Ovis aries: one gene and its partners. The protein of the gene in region 1 purifies or fractionates together with the protein of each later gene. This does not show direct contact. Links are inferred from orthologs where the notes say so. Each region holds a gene or a part of one and is shown on either strand. Other genes may lie near its edges.

Region 1 (3,640 bases):
AATACCCACAGAAAGATGGTTTTCAATTTGTTTAATTCGGCAACTAATTATTAAATGAGATGCTTAATTTAGACAGGGTTAGGCATTGAGATGTAGCTATAAACAGATAATAGTGATCTCTGCCTTCATTTATAATGAGGGAAGAAAGTCATCACACATTTCCTTAGAAGTGTGATGAATATTACAAAAAGGGAAGTCAAGTATACTTGTTGTGGAAGTATTTGGCAAGAGGATTTAACTTAGTCTGTGGGGTCAAGGACGGAGGAGCCTGGTAGGCTGCAGTCCATGGGGTCGCTAGGAGTCGTACATGACTGAGCGACTTCACTTTCGCTCAGTAAAAAATACTCCACACAGTAATGTCAGCCTGGTTTTCATGAAATGCCAATCAGATCAGATCAGATCACTACCTCTTTCAATGGATTTTCACTGTCCTTAGAATTAAGTCTAGAATTTTTTACGGTGGCTTCTAAGACCCTCTATGATCTAGACTCTGCATGTTTATCTTTTGGTTCTTACCTTACCTCATTCCCAGCAGCCCGCAACTATACCAGAATGCTTCAGTTACCTTAACGCCCTGCTCCTCGCAGTATGTTTCTGAGTATACTCTTCCTATAAGAGTACTATTACTGTAACATAGTAAATGCACAGCTTCAGTTTACTAATTTCTATTTCATCCATCAAGTGTTGGCTTAAACAGAACCTCCTCAGTAAACTGCCTTGTCCCCACTGCTGCTGCTACTGCTGTTAAGTCGCTTCAGTTGTGTCCAACTCTGTGCAACCCCAGAGATGGCAGCCCACCAGGCTCCCCAGTCCCTGGGATTCTCCAGGCAAGAACACTGGAGTGGGTTGTCATTTCCTTCTCCAATGCATGAAAGTGAAAAGTTGGTTCAGTCGCTAAGTCATGTGGAATATTATTGGGGAAGAATGAGAATGGGGTAATTAATTATAGGTGGTGATCATTCATGGGTAAGAACATCTTAACTGGAGAGAAGCCAAATATGATCTCTCCTGATGGGATTCCACAGTACTACATTTGAAGTATCTGCCACCCAAAATACTGAATGAACATCAATCTGATCGAGCCTCTGTAGCTACAGGGAAATAATTAGCAAAATCCAGATTGTGGTAAATTACAGGACAGAGAATCTGGTGTGGATATATTTTTCCAGGAAAAGAAAACAGAAAAAAGAGAGGTACAGAAGGATTTTATAGATGAAAAGAGGAAGAGTTTTCACAAGAGTGCATGGAGAAATGCTCTTGAAGTGGCATTGGAAAGAAAAGGGACTAGTGACTCCACCTCCTTATTTTAAGTCCATGGAGAGAGTTTGAGAGCAAAGGCTTTCTTTGCAGGAGAGTTGGATTTCAATTAAAACAGGAGTTGCTGTTGAGATTATTCATTGAAGTTTGCAAATCATGGAGTAAGATTTAGGATGGAGGAAGGGAGTCAGAAGTTCAGAGAATTTTTGTGGGAGGGAGTTTAAATTTTGAATAGTAAGTCAATGAATTCAGCTGGTTCCTGGTGGTTTGGTGAGCAATCAGGGAACTGAGAATTCAGCTGTTTTCTCTGGGGAGCAAATACAATAATCTGATATTAAGTGGCAAGCTTGCAAGCCTTTTAAGTCTAGTCTAGTGAGCTGAAGTGGAACCAGCTACTCTTCATTGCTCAAGTAGTGAAGACCAAGTGGATGGTTATAAGGAAAGGCGCTCTGGAGGTTTGGGGCCATGTTGCTGCAGAATACTGATTAGGTTAAACTTCCTGTGTTCACTTTTGCCTGTAAATAGTAACTGTATAAGGCAGAGGTAAGTTGGAATGAACTAGTACTCTCAATAAAGGATAACCATGATAATCTTGATCATATGTGTCCCTAAAGCAGTGAAAACCACTTATTCAATAAAATCGCCATAGAAAAAAGCAGAAAACTAAAAGTTTTTTTAAACTGACTTTAATTTTTTTCCCCCAGGCAAAAATTGTACAGATTTTGTAAATACTGTGAATGTTTCACATTGAAATACACAGTATATATGGCAAAGCTTAAGAACCATATCACATTGTTAATTTCCGAGAGTCAAGGAAATCAGTTGTGATTTGCTACAATATTGTTTCTTGGACGTTTTCTTTACTGTGTGCTTTGAAATTGGCTCTCATCTTTCTTTTTTCCTTATTTTTAGTTTCTGAAGCCACTAATGATTCGACAATGGATGATGTGGTTGAAAACCATGTTGCAGACCAACTGTCATCAGATACTACACCAAATGCTATGGAAGCTGAATTTTCAGGATCTTCTCCAGCCAACTTACTGGAACGACCAACCAATCATACAGAGGCTCTTGGTCACGACCACTTAGGAACTAATGACCTCACTGTTGGTGGATTTTTAGAAAATCACGAGGAGCCCAGAGATAAAGAACAGTGTCCTGAAGAGAATATACCAGCATCTTCACTCAACAAAGGAAAGAAATTGATGCATTGCAGAAGCCATGAAGAGGTCAACACTGAACTAAAAGCACAAATAATGAAAGAGATCCGAAAGCCAGGAAGAAGTATGTATAATGAGAGACAGACAGCAGATTTCATTTTTGTATATGCTTTAAGAAAAAAGTCAAATTAACTAAAGCATAGATCTGATTTTAGAACAGTCTTAAGAACAACATATCAGCTGTATAAGATCCCATTCTTTATTCAGCCAACACTTAGCGAGTATCTGCTATATCCAAAGTACTGTGTTAGGTGTGGTAAATAAGGAGGGATGAGAGTAGAATAGGGGAATACACAGATAAAAATTAAACATGGTTCCTCCCATGACAGGAACTGATAGTCTTGAACATTCTACCAACCAGCAACTGGAAGTTTAAGGTAACAGAAAAAACCCCCAAAGATGCAGTGAATATTAAATGACTTACATTTGTAAAGTTCTTGGCACAGTACCTACCCACCATCTTAACTTTTGAGATTTAAACTGTAGTAGTGACAGGGATGCGTTTAGGCCGAAAAATGAAAATTATGAAGCTGTCTGTTACATGAGTAGAGAAGAACTTCGTGAGATAAAGTTTCAATATTCTTATTGATATACATTCAGAAGATTTGGACAGATCACCTGCTATGATGGTGCCCATGGGTGGTCCAGAAGTGGGTAAGACTCAGTACTGGTCATTTTAGGAGCTTATAGTCCTTGACAGAGGACTATTAAGTTTTATGTGAAAACTTGAAATTGAGACAGCACTCTTTTTTTCCTCTATTTTATCCACCCCCTATGTTAGCTGTAACTTAGAGTTTGTTATAAGGTTGAATTTTTGTAAAGGCCACTTCTTATTTTTCAGTGGCACTACCACTGTTTACTCATTCTTCTAAGCTGTATGTTTTGATACATACGTGAGTTCCCTAATGAGAACTTCTACCAAGAAAAGGCAGTGTTTGACAAGTTATTTTATCTTTGTTGATATCTGATAAAATGTATGTATTATAAAATCTCTAATGAATGGTGAAATTTTTAGGTAAACTATTTTTGGTTTTGTCTTAATCTTGATGTGTAGTAAACTGTAATAGAAAAATATTGAATAAGTGTGCAAAGTAACACCACTTTTCTTTTTGCTTCTCTTATTTTAAGAATATGAAAGAATCTTCACTTTACTGAAGCATGTG
Region 2 (4,371 bases), on another chromosome or scaffold:
CCCCTCCCTGTAACTCTCCAAACCCAGCACTCACCAAGTCTGTGAGCAATGAACTCGTCATGAAGGACGGAGGAATTGGCATCAATCTGAACCCAGTCAATTGCTAAAGAATGAAGGAAGCAGAAAAAGCAGACAGGCAGATTAGCCACCAAATTTTCCAGATTTAAAAATCATCTGAAAGTGTTTGTTGCTCAGTCATGTCTGACTCTTTGCAATCCCATGCACTGCAGCCTGCCAGGCTCCTCTGTCCATGGGATTCTCCAGGCAAGAATTCTGGAGTGGATTACCATGCTCTTCTCAGAGAATCTTCCCGATCCAGGGATTGAACCCTAGGGGCTTCCTGCACTGAGGCAGATTCTTTAGCATCTGAGCCCCTCCAAATCATCTAGTGCTTACTAAATTGCAGAGGCCGAGTCAGGCTGCCAGAGACTGATTCCACAGCTCTGGAGTGGGGCCCAGAAGCTGCATTTTAATAAGAACCACACACACTGCACCGCACTTCCCTGCTCAGGCAGTTATGATGCAGACAGTTCCCTGTATTACCCCAAAAACACTGACCTAAAGATACCACGAGAATGGGAGCGTGTTTCTCAGAGCGGAGTATTTCTGTGGGAAGCACTTAAATCTGCTACTCATGCCAACACCAGTAAGAACACAAGCTATTTGGGCACTTGAAAGTTGGACAAACCTCAGAGAAGTAACATAGACTTATGGCCCACATCTCCTTTTGTGATATAATGACTAGATTACCCAAATTAATACTTTATTATCATTCAACCAAATCATGTTTACCCAATTCCTTTAATGGGTAGGGCATACTAATCCCTACCAGCCATGAGCGAGGAGGAGAACTGCAGTGTCACACATAGTTGATTTAAACACATTTACTCATTCATTCATAAATATGTGTACATAAACAATTAAATTCAGAAGTCAAAAGGCAGTGAGACCAACTGTTCAATGAGGGGCACAGACACTAGGAACAGAGGACCAGACACGACCAGACCCCCACCTGCTTGTCCTTCTGCTTCCTAAACCTGAGCCAAGCAAGGACTAAGAGCCAAGCTTTTCTGTCTCTGCCTTTCCTCCCACTGGCGTGCCTTTAACCTCTCCTGTGCAGGATTTAAAATCCTGTGAGCTTCCTATAAACCAGGCCTTGCCCACCCTCTGTGATACAGAGATGAATACTCTCTCCCGGGAGGAAGCTACTCTCTCCTGGAACTCTGTCCACACTTCTCTTAAGACACTTGTCAAATTGCGTTATATCTGTGTGCATCTTGCTTCCACCTCAAGCTTCAAAATTTCTTTGGGTCTTCAGATGTCTTAATTTCTGTATTCCTAGCTGGGGTCTGGATTGCAAGAGGTGCTTCATGCTACATGGGAAAAGTGGCGCTTGAATGTCAGGGCTGCACCCTAAAGCACAACTGCCTCACTTTACTCATGATGAAACTAAGGTCCTGAGACCCCACGGGGTGATTAGGCAGAGAAGGAGAACCAGCACTCCAAGCTCTGAGTTGAAAAAGTCTCCGGGGGGTGGTAATGGTGGAAAAACTACAATGTCCTCTGCTTACCAACCAACTGGCCCGTTCATCTCCTTAGGAATTTGCACACTTGATGCGGTAACTATGGCTTACATCTCTTTTTCCTAAACCAAACTCAGAGTTAACACTCGGAAAATATTTGTAGTATATCTGTAGACAGGCAGAACACCCAGTGAAGAGTGGCTGGAACAAAAGCAGAAACAGATCCTTTCTCCTTGAAGCGTCAAACCCACTGCAGCTACGGTTCTCCTTAAACCCTAGAAGAATCTGCCTGCAAATGCAGGAGAAGCGGGTCTGATCCCTGGATTGGGAAGATCCCCTAGAGAAGGAAATGGCTGCCCACTCCAGTATTCTTGCCTGGAGAATCCCATGGACAGAGGAGCCTACAGCCAATGGGGTCGCAAAGAGTCGAACACAACTGAGCAACTGAAGATGAACTCCTAGAGAACCCTGTACTTCACAGCTCTGCGTTTCCAGTGCCTAGCACCACTGCCTGGAGCTTATATGCTCCCGAGATGCAGCTGACGGAACAGATTCACATTACCGGGCAATGGAGACTCACTGAACACAAGGCACAGAGATTATTCCCCTTAATCGTTAACGTCGCCCTGACAACTGCTATTAGCGTCCGAACATTAGAGAGGGGACTGCAACAGAGTTTAATAGCTTGCCCAAGTTTCGCAGCGATAGTAAGTGAAAACAGTTTGAGTCCCAGTCCACAGACTCCTGAGCCCATGAGCGTCACCAACGCACGGAAAAGAATGGAACTAAATAGCCCGTGGGAGCCAGAGAGGTGGCCAGAGTGGGCCTGGGCCAAGGGCAAAGGGCCCGATCAAGTCTCCAGCACGACTGTCCTCTTAGCGCCCCCAATCCCTCGCCCAAACCAAGGCTGGGGGCAGGAGCTGCAAGGCAAGGGGAGGAGTGGGGTGGGGGGAGAGAGGCCTGGTAGCCCTGGCAACGAGACTGGGGTCGCTTACCTATTATGGGCACCTCAGCGATGAAGACCCTCCGGATAGAATTTGCCACCCTGAGGAATGAAAACCAAGCGGCGTGTGGGCACCGCAACCTCGACAGGCCGGGCTCGCGCCCCACCGCGCCCAAAGCGGAAGCCAGTTTTGAAAAGACACGACGTCCCGCAGGCTGGGACCCCGGCTCTCCAGAACCGCCAACCTCTCCCCCAGCAGTCTTACGCCAGGTCCGTGTTCTCGATGATGAACTTGACATTCTCGTCGGTGAGCTCCGTGATCCGCACTGTGGGCTGGTTGGCGTACGGCATCGCGCCCCACCGCTCGCTCGACCTCTGTTGTCAGCTCTGCCGGGCCTGCGCCAACTCCTCCAGCGGAAGTCCGTCAGCGGGGCCTCGCCACTGGCGCGGACGGGCGCTCACAGCGCCGCCTGCTGCTCGGAGGCCTGAAGTTTTCCACCCACCCCTCCCACCTTCTTGAAGAGGCACCACGTTCAACCATTCAGAGGGCGATTTGGCAAAGCATGCACACGCCCTTGATTCCACAGTAACACTTCTAAGAATCCATACTGCAGAAACATTTGCAGGTGTAAGCAAACATGTACAGGGACGTTCACTGCAGCTGCTGCTGCTGCTAAGTCGCTTCAGCCGTGTCCGACTCTGTGCGACCCCATAGACTAGGCAGCCCACCAGGCTCCGCCGCCCCTGGGATTCTCAGGCAAGAACACTGGAGTGGGTTGCCATTTCCTTCTCCAGTTCACTGCAGCAGTTTCTGGCAAAAGATAAATAAAAGATGCCCATTGACAGAGACCTGGTTAAATATACAAACACAGGAATACTGTAACGTTTTTTAAAAGAATGAAGTGTGTAAATTTATGGAAGAAGAAAAGTACAGTTGGTCCTCCATATGCAAGGGTTTTTGAATCCAACCAATTGAAGATAAAATTCCATAAAGTTCCAAAAATAAAACAAATTTGCTGCACTATTTATATAGCATTTACAACTATTTACCATAGCATTAAACATTGTGTTAGGTACTATAAGAAACCTACAGATAATTTAAATTCTATGGGAAGGGCACATGTAGGTGCATAGTAGGCAGTGTCTTAAACAGCCTGCAAAGAGGTCTGATGGGTCTTTTTTTTGCTTTTGGTTGTGCCACATCCATGTCCCCTGAAATGAAGTAAAGTCCTAATCATTGGACTGCCAGGGAATTCCCAGGTGGCAGCAGATTATACAGAGAAGTCCTAAAATAGAACTTGGCAGGGAACAACATGTAGGGGGCAGAGAAAGAATCATCAGAGGGGACAGAGGCGTTTGCTTTAGCAAGGAGTGACATCTGAGACAGAGAAGAGCATTAAGGGGGCCCTTGCACTAAAGCCTGTATCATCTCAGTAAATTAAGAAGGTTGTCTGTTGAGTGTGAGATGGATGCTATATAGGATAAAAGAGGGAATGGAACAAAATATGATAGCTACTGCAGGCAACTTGACAGGATGTCAAGATAAAAGAATCAGGTGCAGAAAGGGCCCAGAGGAACGTGCGTGAGACAGGAAATTCCCACTAGCCGTTACTCCCATCGTCATTCAGTCCACTCAGGTAGGAGACCGCAGCGCAGAAGACAGATGGCTGTTGGATGCTGCATGCACCAAAATGGTGAAGCCCCAACTTCTCACGTGAGGATACTTGGAAAGGGGGTCTTTACGAGGCCCTGAGGATAGAACTCTCAGGAGATTAGTGCTCTAACAAAACCAGGAAGAGCGCAGAGCACACTGGCATGCTCTCTCTGTTGTGCGAGAATGCAGGGAGAAGGTGGCCGTGTGTGTCAGGAAGAAAGCGCCAAGAATCAAGTCAGCTGGCACCTTGA
Region 3 (4,145 bases), on another chromosome or scaffold:
CCAAGCCGTGGAAAAGAGTCACATTTAAAATATGATGCAGAGGGACTTCCCTAGTGGTCCAGTGGTTAAGACTCTGCACTTCCACTGCAAGGGCAGCAGGTTTGATCCTTGGTCAAGAAACTAAGATACCACATGCTACACAGTGCAGCCAAAAAACAAAAATAAAACACGCTGCAGAAAGGATAAAAGTACTAAGAAGGGCAAGGATTCAAGGTGTGGGAGGGGCGAACTTTCGCCAGAAAGGCAGACTCGAAGATAAAGCATTACTGAGGATACAACTCAATGAATGATTCAACTCAACAAAGGGTTCAATCTGAAAAATAAGATGACCCCAAATGTCAGACTCATGAAAAAAAGCAAAACCTAGACTCTTGAGAAGAAACAGACAAATCCATGATCCTTGTGATAAATTTTACATTTGATGTCACTCGCCTGCCTCAAGTCTTACCCCTCCACCCTGAGTCAGTCCACTGCAATGAGCCCACACTCTGGTCTCTGACCTGCCCGGCCTGCTCCCGTGTACTCAGATGGCACACTGGCCCTCTTTGGCATCTTCCACACACTCAGGCAGAGCCAGGGAGTGGCAGGAGCCCTGCTCAGTACTGGATCTGAGCTGGGCCCCACGCTCACCTTCTGCCTCCAAGGGTCCCTGGGATGGCAGCAGAGTGAGTTGGGGGCGGGGGTGGGGAGCTGACCTGCACCGTCTGGTGGAGGTGGACAGCCACCACTTTCTTCATGCAGTCCTTGATCATCTGGGACGTGAAGAAGTTGGCCTCGCCCTTCTTGTCCACGGCGATCTTGCGGTAGTCCTCCAGCAGGATGGGGCAGATGGCCTGGGTGGGCTGGGTCATGTAGATGGGCCCATCGTAGCCCACCATCTCACTGAAGTAGGGGAGTGCCCCGCAGTGGTCCAGGTGGAAGTGGCTGCAGGCGCAGCACCAGTCAGCTGGATGCCCCCCAACCCTCCACCCAGCAACCCTACCCCCATTCCTCTGCTCACTGAGGGCCTGCTATGTGTCAGACATGGCCCTGAACATGGGAGAGGGAGAGGGCAAAAGGGACTCAGGCCCAAGTGTCTAGCGATGCCACCAGCAGGCAGTTACTATGGGGTCAGCTTCACATTCCAGGAAGGAACAGGAAGGGGCTCAGGGCAACAAGAACCAGTATGCCACTTGGGTGGGTGGCTGGGTCTGTGGGTGGGGAAGGCGCCCACCTGATGATCACACAGTCCAGAAAGTCGGTCAGTCGGCCACTGCGGGTGATGTAGGAAAAGTCGGGGAAGCGCCTCTGTGGGGGGAGAAGCAAAAGTGTCAGGATGCCGCCTGCCCAGGGCTCAGGTGACTGTGGGGCAGCCAGGGCTGTGGGGATGGCCCCTGGGTCAGGATGCAGTTGAGCCTGACACCCACACCCTGCAGGCCCACTGAGGCCACCGACTGCTCAGAACCCCTGAGCATGTAGGGCAGAAGTCAGGCTGCTGAGCCAGTACCTGAGAGCTGAGACCCCACAGCCGTGCCCTGGCTCCAGTACAGTCTGACCCAAGTGCTCCACTTGTTGGGTGACGGTGGGGGCTGCCCTCCTACCAGTGCCCACTTGCCCCCGTTCCTCCTCCATAGTCAAAGCCTGCGACTCCGAGGCCCAGGTCCCTCGGTGATGACGCCGAGGTGCAGGCTGGATGCCAGGCCGCCCACCCTTGAGACTCACATCGTCGCTGAAGCCCATGTGCATCCCGCAGTCCAGCATGACGTTCTTGCCCGCAATGGACACCAAAATGCAGCTTCGGCCCACATCCTGGCCAGCCCCTGTATGGGAGGACCAGTCGGAGGGACAGCCATGCCCCCCTCTCTCCCACTGCCCAGTGAGGATTTGGGGTAAAAGAAGCAGTAAAAAGACAGGACTGTTCAAGGGTGCGCGGTGAGAAAGATGTCATAGGGGAAAAAGGCTGGCAAAAGTGAGTGGTGAGAAAGATGCCACAGTGGGAAACAGGCTGGAAGAACCCTGCAGAGGCCCCTGGAGAGGAACCAGGTGTGAGGAGAGCATGGAGCTGAAGCAACCAGAGGGGAACCGGAGTCAACAGGTAGGAGAGGTGTGAGGACACCTATGGCGGGGCGGGATGCGTGCTGTGCCCTGGACGGCCAGGGGAAGACCACTGCAGCGGGAGGCTGGGTGGGCTATTCTGAGAATGCACCATAGAAGAGAGCATGTAGAGCTGCGGGGAACAACCCTGCTAGAAGACGCTGCGGATATATGGCCGTGGCAGGGGGGCAGGTTTCCGGAAAGCCCCTGGCACCTGTGCACAGAGACCCCGGCTGTTCCCATTCTGAGTGACCTGCTGTACCTCCTTCGCACTGCTGTACTGTTTTTAAACTATGCACTTATATCTTCCGCAAAGGGCAAGCTGGGGGCGGGAGAGACGTTGGTTTTTGTTTTTAACGCTGCGCCGGTCAAGCAAAAGAAAGTCTGACTGACGTGGGGTGAACGGCCCACGGGTAAACGGAGGCTGCAGGGAAGCGGGGCTCGAGACATATGGAACAGGTGGAAGGCAGCGAGTGCGCGAACGCAGAGGCAGGAGGAAGGTGCACTAAGCACTGGTGCTGGGCGGGGGGCCGCGCGGCGAGGAAGACGCGTCCCGGGGTCCCCGGACCTCCGAGCCCCCTACCAGCCTTCCTCGGGCGCTCCTTGCGCCGCCCAGCACTCACCCAGGGGCGTGACCCTGATCTCGGGCATCCTGCTGGGCAAGCCAAGCGAGCGGGCAGGATCAGCCCGGTCCCACGAGACCCCGGGGCCCGCGACCCGGTCCCGGCCACGCGCGCCTGACTCGCGGCTATGCACGGCGCAGGCGCATTCCCAACGGCCCCAACTTCCGGCGTGCCGGACGGAAACGCTGGCCCGCGCAACGTGCTTTCTGATTGGGCGGCCAGCAGCCAGTCCCGGGCGACGGGGCGGTAGGGCTGTGGCCGACGCCCGGGCAGCCCGCCCCGTGGCTGCTGTGGCGGCACAGGTGAGCAGCGGAGGCGCAGGTGAGTGGGGCGCGACGGGCTCAAGGCGGCGCGGGGAATCCCAGCCCAACCGAGCTGGGCCTGGGCCTTGCCGAGGGGTCGGAGCGGGAGCCCCCAGGCGTGGGAGGAGGCGGCCGAGGACCCGGCTCCAGCGCTGGCCCGGACCCCGAGCCCCTGTCCCCTCCCTAGGGACTTAGCTGGAGCAGGACCCGCGCAGGACAGGGGCCCCACCCTACCCGAGTCCTGGGTCCCAGCCTGGCGCCACCTGGAGCCCCCTTCTCAGGCGAGATTTCCGGGATTTCCCCGCTCCCACCCGCTGGGCCTGGGGTGCCGGAGGGCAGCCCTCTTTTCCTAGGGACCTTCAGCTTGCCGTCAGTTTCAGGATGAGCCCTGACCTTGGGGCCATGGGCTGCCCTTGGGGGAGCCTTGGCGATTCCCTGCATCACCTCCCCGGAGCTGGCAGCCTGCCCGACCCCGCTGCGCCGCCACTGCCCTTCCTGTTGTTTCCAAGCTCTGAAAGGCTGCTGGCACCTCCCGTTGACTGCTGGCTCAGGTTCCAGGCAGGAAGGCCAGGCCCATAGGATGGCTGGTGACCAGGAAGGTAGCCCTGAGGGCCTCAAAGGCCATCTGTCTGGTGGACAGGACACTGAGGCCCTGAGAGAGGGGAGGAGTATGCTGGAAGCCTCCCATTGTCTTCTTCCTGAGGCCAGGCACTGCTGTCCCCCACACCTGAAGATGGAGTGAGCTCACCACCGGGCCCTCCACCTAGTGCCAGGCATGTGGCAAAGGCAGAGGGCCTGCAGGGCCTCAGCACCCACTGGGCCCCATCAGAGGCTCCCAGCAACCTGGGTGATGGGCAGGGCAGGGTGTGCTGGCCCATTTTCCCTAAAGCTGTGGGACAAGATCTTAGGTCAGTGCATGACTTGCCCATGGTATGGAAGGGACCCACATGTGCTCTCTTGGCTGGGCTCTCACCACAGCTCAAATGGCCTCCTCTCATGCAGGCTCTTACAAGCCTTCCAGCATTGAGGGCCCAGGAACCCCTGTGCCCAAAGGGTGAGAGCTTGTCCTGGACAATGAGATGAGACACAGCCTAGTCCCCAGGGCCCATCAGAGCCACACCACAGTGCAGCCCTGGGCACTCAGGGA

Evidence for each region.
Region 2: the proteins of INTS6 (region 1) and POLR2C purify together in Homo sapiens (affinity purification with mass spectrometry; 3 studies listed by BioGRID and IntAct, with this or other methods). This does not show direct contact. The link is inferred for Ovis aries from reciprocal best matches to the Homo sapiens genes INTS6 and POLR2C.
Region 3: the proteins of INTS6 (region 1) and INTS11 purify together in Homo sapiens (affinity purification with mass spectrometry; 3 studies listed by BioGRID, with this or other methods). This does not show direct contact. The link is inferred for Ovis aries from reciprocal best matches to the Homo sapiens genes INTS6 and INTS11.

What each region holds. Positions count from the first base shown.
Region 1 is NC_056063.1:21,145,041-21,148,680, reverse strand, and holds part of INTS6 (integrator complex subunit 6), read left to right. Parts: intron 1-2,169; coding exon 2,170-2,541; intron 2,542-3,605; coding exon 3,606-3,640. UniProt on the Homo sapiens protein: Component of the integrator complex, a multiprotein complex that terminates RNA polymerase II (Pol II) transcription in the promoter-proximal region of genes.
Region 2 is NC_056067.1:25,049,271-25,053,641, reverse strand, and holds the start of POLR2C (DNA-directed RNA polymerase II subunit RPB3), read right to left. Parts: upstream 2,856-4,371; 5' UTR 2,818-2,855; coding exon 2,732-2,817; intron 2,569-2,731; coding exon 2,519-2,568; intron 104-2,518; coding exon 35-103; intron 1-34. UniProt on the Homo sapiens protein: Core component of RNA polymerase II (Pol II), a DNA-dependent RNA polymerase which synthesizes mRNA precursors and many functional non-coding RNAs using the four ribonucleoside triphosphates as substrates.
Region 3 is NC_056065.1:50,520,748-50,524,892, reverse strand, and holds the start of INTS11 (integrator complex subunit 11), read right to left. Parts: upstream 2,847-4,145; 5' UTR 2,725-2,846; coding exon 2,697-2,724; intron 1,800-2,696; coding exon 1,702-1,799; intron 1,288-1,701; coding exon 1,214-1,287; intron 925-1,213; coding exon 696-924; intron 1-695.